Linked DNA regions of Caenorhabditis elegans. Each later gene encodes a partner of the first gene's protein in a complex. Each region holds a gene or a part of one and is shown on either strand. Other genes may lie near its edges. The genes, in order: coq-4 and clk-1.

Region 1 (3,244 bases):
TTTCTCACAAATCACACAATTATCAAAATCCAAAGAAATTGACTAAACTGCCAGTCGCAGAACGTTTTGGTATTACGGTAAACACAAAATTCTGAGAATGCGTATTCCGCAGCATATTTGACACGCAAAGTATCCCGTAGCGAAAACTACAGTAATTCTTTAAATGACTACTGTAGCGCTTGTATCGATTTAGAAATATTTTCGAAATTAAAAAATGCGTTGCTTCGTATTATTTTCTTAATATTTGCTTAATTCTAGTATTCTATCGATATTTAAATCCATTTCGAAAATCGACACAAGCGATACAGTAGTAGTTTTAAGAATTACTGTAGTTTTCGCTACGGGATACTATCAAAATTTATGAATCGATCCTTCGATTTTTGCAAAATCGAAGGATCGATTCATAAATTTTGATAGTATTTTGCTCGTCAAATATTTTGTGCAATACGCATTCTCAGAATTTAAGTGTTATCGTAATACCGTAACTGTTAAATGGTCCAAATTTTTCAAATTTAATGTCCGGTCCAAAAAAATTAATTAATTCATTTTTTCATTATCACTGAGAAATTCAAGATCAAATCTATATCACATATTCACAGATAATGGCGTTATATTTAGCTCCTTCTGCACCTCGCTGAGCTGCTTTTCAAAGTGATTTTCCCAGTCGAAAGCCATGAAGAATCGTGCATTCGTGGCCTGCTCCACAACCCAAGGGAGGTTCCGGTCGACAAGTTCTTGGCGATTTCTAGAATTTTTAAATTTTATTTTCATGGTTTCGTCTCTCTTTCTGCTTACTTTGTTAAAAGCCTGGCACCTCCAAATATTCCACCAGTGACACACATTGGAAGCCCATATTGAATTCCTTCGAAATATTTGACTGTTACCTCGCCGAGCATGTTCGTTTTCTGCTCCAATGCGATGTGGGTGAAGTCGTGTGTTTCGCGATACCTGAAATTTTGAATTTTTTTGTTATTTACGTCGATTTTTAAAACCTTTGCATAACATAAAGATGCTCCAAATTATCGATATACTTGACAGTGGGCCGAGCATCTGGAGATGTGTTCAAACGATCGAGAAAGCTGAAAATTGAAGTTTTTCAATTTTTTTTTGTTGTTTAATATACTTTCACATACTTTGAATACAATTTTCCTAATGTTCCATCCGGTAACTGTCTTAGCCACTTTCTATCAATTGTTCCATTTGAAATTCTTGGTTTTTCGAGAAGAAGTCGCTTTCCAACAACATCAGATTCCATTCTTTTTCGAATATTTTCTAAAACTGGTCCAATTGCAGTAGTTTCGCCCATCGCTGCCACCATATCTCCTCTTTTTGGATCCGAGATCGCTGTTACTGCTGATCCAATCCCGAGAAGCATCCGAGACAGCGGTGCCAAGGGAACATGCGATGCGTATAGCTTTTGAGCAGACATCTGATTTCTTTTCTTTTTTTTTCAATTGGAAAATGACTATAATGTATTGGTAGATATACGGAACTCTACGATTAAAAAACTCTACGATTAAGTGAACTCTTAATTTATTCTATAGTTATACACTTTATTTATACTTCATGTTACATGGAAGATTGTGAAATCACTGGGAACAATTCAAGACTAATGTGGGAAAGTTTTTAGAGAGAGAAAGAATAAATACAAATACACTATTGGGCAAGGAATAAACAATAGAAATTAGAAAATTATTGAGCTGGCGAAAGAGCATCAACTCCTGGCAGAACTTTTCCTTCGAGCAATTCCAAACTGGCTCCACCTCCAGTTGAGACGTGAGACACCTTATCTTCCGTGTTATACTTCTTGGCGGCGGTCGCAGTGTCACCTCCTCCAATGATTGTGATGGCTCCGGCAGCGGTGGCCTTGACAACTTCATCCATCAATGACTTGGTGCCTGTGGCGAATTTATCAAACTCGAATACTCCTGCTGGACCGTTCCAGACAATCGTTTTGGCGCGTTGAATGGCAGCGGCGAAGATCTTAGAAGATTCCGGCCCAACATCAAGTCCCATGTGGCCATCTGGAACACCTTCCTCGGCGGTGACGGTCTTCGAGGTTGCGTCCTCGGCGAACTTGTCAGCAATGACGAAATCCACTGGGAGATGGATTTGAACTCCCTTTGCCTTGGCAGCCTCAAGAAGCTCGTTCACAATTTTCGCTCCTTCTTCGTCGTACAAAGAGTTTCCGATCTTGACTCCCTGGGCAACTTTCAAGAAGGTATAGGCCATTCCTCCGCCGATGATCATCTCATTAACCTTGTCTAACAAGTTCTTGATCAACTGAATCTTGTCAGCGACCTTAGCTCCTCCAAGGATGGCCAGGAATGGACGAGCTGGGTTGTCGAGGGCCTGAAAATTTAATAATAAAATTCAATATGAAAAATTGGAGGAAAAAATTACCTTGCTAAAGTAGGAGAGCTCGTTCTTGAGCAAGAATCCACTTGCACGTTGTGAGTGCTCGACTCCAACCATGGAGCTATGGGCTCTGTGAGCGGTTCCGAAAGCATCATTGACATAAATATCGCCAAGCTTGGTGAGAGACTCGCGGAATTTCTTTACGGCTGCTGAATCAGCCTTAACCTTGGCACCGGATGCATCGACTCCTTTGCCCTCCTCTTCCAGATGATAACGAAGATTTTCAAGGAGAATGACTGATCCAGGAGCTGGATCGGCGCATGCAGCCTCCACTTCTGATCCGACACAGTCGTCGAGGAAGAGAACATCTCTGAAAATCATTTGTAATTTTTTTAAAATCAGATTATACAACAAACTTTTTCAAGAGAGCCTTCAACTCTTCAGCAACTGGTTTCAAGGTGTACTTGTCTTGGCGTCTGCCATCTGGACGTCCCAAATGTGACATTAAAACGACAGATTTGGCTCCGTTGCTAAGAGCATGCTGAAATTTTGAATATTATTGAAAATGTTGTTTGAAATAAATTTGAATTGATTACCTGAATGGTTGGAACAGCGGCAGCAATACGTTGATTGTTGGTGATTTTGCCATCCTTGAGTGGGACATTGAAGTCAACACGGATCAAAACTCGCTTTCCGGCGAGGTTCAACTGGTCGATAGCCAACTTGTTGAGGGAGCTCATTTTTCTGAATGCTGAAATTGTTTGATATTGATTTTCAAAAATTTCAAAGATGGTCAAAACAGGAGAGAATGTTAAAATTGAGAAACAAACAAGACAACTATTTTGACGAGCGACGTGAGAAATGATAGAAGTTGTTGCTCGCCTTT
Region 2 (4,157 bases), on another chromosome or scaffold:
TCTTTTGAATCGCCTAATAACTTCAATGCTGAAGTTTTTTTGTTACCGTAACCTGTTACCGAATCAAATTTTTTATTAACTTGCCGTGCTCGTGATTAGCTCGCAATTTTCTCCGGTTTTCTTGTATTTATTCTCGAAATTTATAAAACCATTTTTCCAAAATTTGAATACTTTAAAATTTGAAAGTTATATTTCAAACTATAGTACTCTTTAAGGACGCACAACTTTTCGTATTTCAGAAGTATTTATCGTTTCGAGACCGGGTACCGTACTTTTGACTCAAAATTCTCAAAATTTTGCTTCATAAAATATTGAAAAAATACCGTAATCGCTTATACGGTAGCTGAAAAGTATTGTCCGTGTCAGGACCGAAATCAATAATTTTTTGGGGGAATCGCATTACTTTAAAATTAATCAATTTTCGTAATATGAAAAAAAAAACCAATATCTTCTGAATTCATATAAAGCCTGATTGAAGCAACTTTAAGGATATATAAAATTCAAAAAAATGAGAAAAAAAGTTCTGGTCATCATCAGAAGTTGGCAGACAACTGGAGAAGTCCCAACTTCTGTTTCCATTGTCCACTCGTTTCCTTTTTTTCTCGAATCCTTGTGTCCACTTTGTTTATCGCCGTGTTTACCACGCCTAAATGGCTCTCGAAGAAGAAAAGAAGAAGCAACTTCCTCTTTTTCTGACAAAATTCGGTTTTTTGGTTTCAAAAAAAGAACTAGAATATTGTTTATCTGCAGTGGTCAGTCGGACATTTCTAACGAGAAAATATTTTCAAAAAAGTTGTTTTTACAAAGAGTTGAGGATCATCTAGAATCTGGGGAATAGCAGCGTCTATGGGGATATTTTGCAAAGAACCATGGAAGAAAAGGGACACATTATTGAAATTGTTCAAATTTTCTCAGCAATCGCAATAGCTCCCTTGCATCCAGTTTGAATAATCCATTTGAGAGCCGAGTAGGCTGGAGCCTGAAAAATTATTTTTTTGATAAATATTTTTTACAATGTTTTACTTTTGTAAGATTCTAGATGGAAAAAAACAAATTGAAGAAAATTCACTAAAATTCACTTAAAGGAGCGTACACGAACCTTCATTCCATCGTGTTCTACTCCAGTATCATGATGATGAAGCTCCTCATCACGTAATCTTGTGAGAATTTTCAGCAATTCTTTGTGTGTTTCAGGATCGTCGGCAAGGAGTTCTAGAAATTTCAGAAAATTTTATTTTCTAAAAAACTTTCCAATTTTTCATTTTGGAATACCTTTCAATTGATCATTATAATGTTGTCCAATGAGTTCTTCAACTGCAATTGTACAAGCCATTGCACCTTCTTTTCCTAGAAGTGCTGAACCGACACCTGCAAGGTAAATAGTAAAATTTGGCAAAAAACGCGTTTTCTTAATTATCTGAGCGTTTTACAGCAAATCCACAAACTTCTTACCGAGAGCATAAGCAGCCACACTGAAAACTGGAGAGAAAACAGTATGAGGTACATTGTGTTTAGCAGCTAATCTTTCCATTGTATCTAAATGTTCTTTCTCCTCATCCCACATCTTTTTGATTACTGAACCAACAGATGAACCTGAAAAAAAAATTTCCTTATTTTTTTCCTTAAAAAAATGGAAATGGTTTTTTAAAAATTTCTGAAGCGATGTTATCTATTCGTAAAAAAAAAGCGATACCCGGTCTCGACACGACATATTTTTATTAAGTGCAAAAATATATGTCCCTTTAAAGAGTACTGTAATTTCAAATTTGGGCTGCGGAATTTTAATCGATTTTTTAGTTAAAAAACACATGTTTCTAAAAATTTGTTGAACTCTATTTTTTTTCTAAAAATAAATATTTTTCATCGGGAAAACGATGAAAAATCGATGAAAATCGTAGCAGCTGAAGTTTCAAACTACAGTACCCTTTAAAGGCGCACACCTTTTCGATAAGGAAAAATCGCAAAATTGCGTTTCAAATTAGTTTTCAGCAACGAGTTTTTCGAACATTTTTTGTTTCATATCCAGTCAAAAGTGAGGACCTTGCAAAACAGCCAACTGTCCAGCGTAAATCCGATCGGCTCCAAGCTCTCCAGCATGATCAACTCGAATGATCTTCTCTATAAGTGCTTGACGAGAAGCAGCAGTATGTGCTCCACGGGTTATTACACGGAACATCTGTATTTCAACGTTTTCAGTGGAATTTTATGTGTTGAAAACATTATCACAATGGTTTCTGCCAATTTTAAAAATGTCAACAAAAAAAAAATTTTTAAAGGAAAATGTATTCTATAAAATTAAATTGTAAAAAGAAGGAGCAAAGCTTTCGAAAAACAGGGAACAATGAATAAATTAATTAATTTAAATATCACTAGATGAGAATTCATGGGAAATGAAAATACAATCACAGCTATAAAATCCAGGAAAAAAGTAAATAAATTAAAGTTTTGGTGGCGGGAACACTAGAAGAGGTAAACAAATGTACTGGGCCAGCCCGGATATGTACAGAAAATACGACATGAAATTCAGTTTTTGGTTGAACTCTTAAACTAGATTGGATTGAAATACAAAATAGGATTGAAATACAAAATAGTGCGAAACCCGATGTTTTCAACAAAAATCTATAGCACTAATGATAAAAAACGCCGTCATGACTATGTCCATGATGATTGTCTGATCCTGCAGAATGACTGTGTCCATGATTATCATTATTTCCTCCATGACTGTGACCATGATCATGTTCGTTATGATCATGACTATGTCCATGAGAGTCGTGGCCATGATCATCATGTCCATGACTGTGTCCATGATCATTATGATCATGAGAATGTCCATGCCCATTATCATGTGAATGATTTCCTTCACTCTTATGAATATGTCCATTCGAATATGGAACTTGCTCTCCTGCAGACCATGCAGCGTCTTTGACAACTTGAACAGTCAGCACTGTGATTACAGATGAAAACTTTTCGGTTACATGAGCCAAAACATTCTGCTCATCCGCATCTCGTCGTACACGAACATCAACAGTGCCAACCTGAAAATAATAAAAAAGATTAAATTTTTAAATATTTTTATTGATTTTTTAACATAAAATAATTATCTTATAAATAATCCAATTGTATAAAATCAACTAAAATTTAGTGCCAGTTTTTGAGGCGTTAAAAATGGTTTTAAATTTCGACCATGTTTCGATTGCTTTTCCTTTTCGAACTTTTCGACCTAGGATTTCCTCATCCTCCCTGGCTCAATCGGTAACTGAGTTCAACTCTCCACCACGGGAAAATTTTTTGCGAATTTTTTCATCCCAAAAAAATGGAAACTTTTTTTTTTTGCTACAATTGCTACAATACATTGACACTTTTTTTTTCTAAATTAGTAAATTATGAAACGCGAAATAAAAACTCGAAAAGTTAGTTTTGAAAAACCGGACGTCTTATTAACAGATTTTTGAACAAATAATTGAGGAATTTTGAGAATTATTAATAAGAATTTTACTTTTTTTAAAATGTTTTAAACTGAAGATTTACCAGCGAGTTAAAATCCAGTTGCCAGAAACGTCCACTCTTCAACTCAAGAACACCGTCTATGTGAGAAGCTTCAGAAATACACCGATCAATTTGATTAATCAAGTGCGGAGGAGTTGTTTGAAGTAGAATCATTCCAGTATATGTTGATAGTGGATACATCGTTGAGAACACAGCAACAGAGAGCAGCAGACAGCATACTGGATCAGCCCATGCGAAGTCGTGCCTAGAAATGAGAAATTTTATATAATTTTTTTAATTGTCTGATTTATTGAAGGTCATAGCCGTAAAACGGTAATTTATAGGCCAAAATTATGTTTCAAATGAGGTGTATGATAGCTAAACTCACTTGAAATGTTCACATAACAAGTTCAGTCCAGTAGTCGTCAAGGCTAACAATACCATTGAATTGATTCTTGGCAGAAGAAGACGCGAAAGGCCAGGAATAACCCAGCACACAGCATGGGACAAATCAGCTGCATGCTCTTGCAAACTTGAAGCCGTTGCTGATTGAAGAACATGTTGAAACGGTTGATTTTTAAGAGCGTATGCTGAGAGAAGCAGCGCCACTGAAGATGCAGCAGAACCAACAAAATATGGCCAGCCGCCGATTTCTTCTACTTCATGTTCGT

What was found.
Region 2: coq-4 (region 1) and clk-1 share a complex: the UniProt entries of both Caenorhabditis elegans proteins name them as parts of the multi-subunit COQ enzyme complex.

The regions. Positions count from the first base shown.
Region 1 is NC_003279.8:3,867,406-3,870,649, reverse strand, and holds coq-4 (Ubiquinone biosynthesis protein coq-4, mitochondrial), read right to left. Parts: upstream 1,437-3,244; 5' UTR 1,430-1,436; coding exon 1,134-1,429; intron 1,080-1,133; coding exon 993-1,079; intron 949-992; coding exon 796-948; intron 746-795; coding exon 586-745; 3' UTR 536-585; downstream 1-535. Other genes in the region: pgk-1 (putative phosphoglycerate kinase), read right to left, coding at 1,693-2,352, 2,404-2,728, 2,775-2,899, 2,955-3,098. UniProt on the Caenorhabditis elegans protein: Lyase that catalyzes the C1-decarboxylation of 4-hydroxy-3-methoxy-5-(all-trans-polyprenyl)benzoic acid into 2-methoxy-6-(all-trans-polyprenyl)phenol during ubiquinone biosynthesis.
Region 2 is NC_003281.10:5,275,913-5,280,069, reverse strand, and holds clk-1 (NADPH-dependent 3-demethoxyubiquinone 3-hydroxylase, mitochondrial), read right to left. Parts: upstream 2,177-4,157; coding exon 2,041-2,176; intron 1,594-2,040; coding exon 1,453-1,593; intron 1,369-1,452; coding exon 1,273-1,368; intron 1,213-1,272; coding exon 1,100-1,212; intron 980-1,099; coding exon 902-979; 3' UTR 726-901; downstream 1-725. Other genes in the region: toc-1 (similar to Transporter Of divalent Cations), read right to left, coding at 2,628-3,035, 3,529-3,751, 3,875-4,157. UniProt on the Caenorhabditis elegans protein: Catalyzes the hydroxylation of the 5-methoxy-2-methyl-3-(all-trans-polyprenyl)benzoquinone at the C6 position and participates in the biosynthesis of ubiquinone.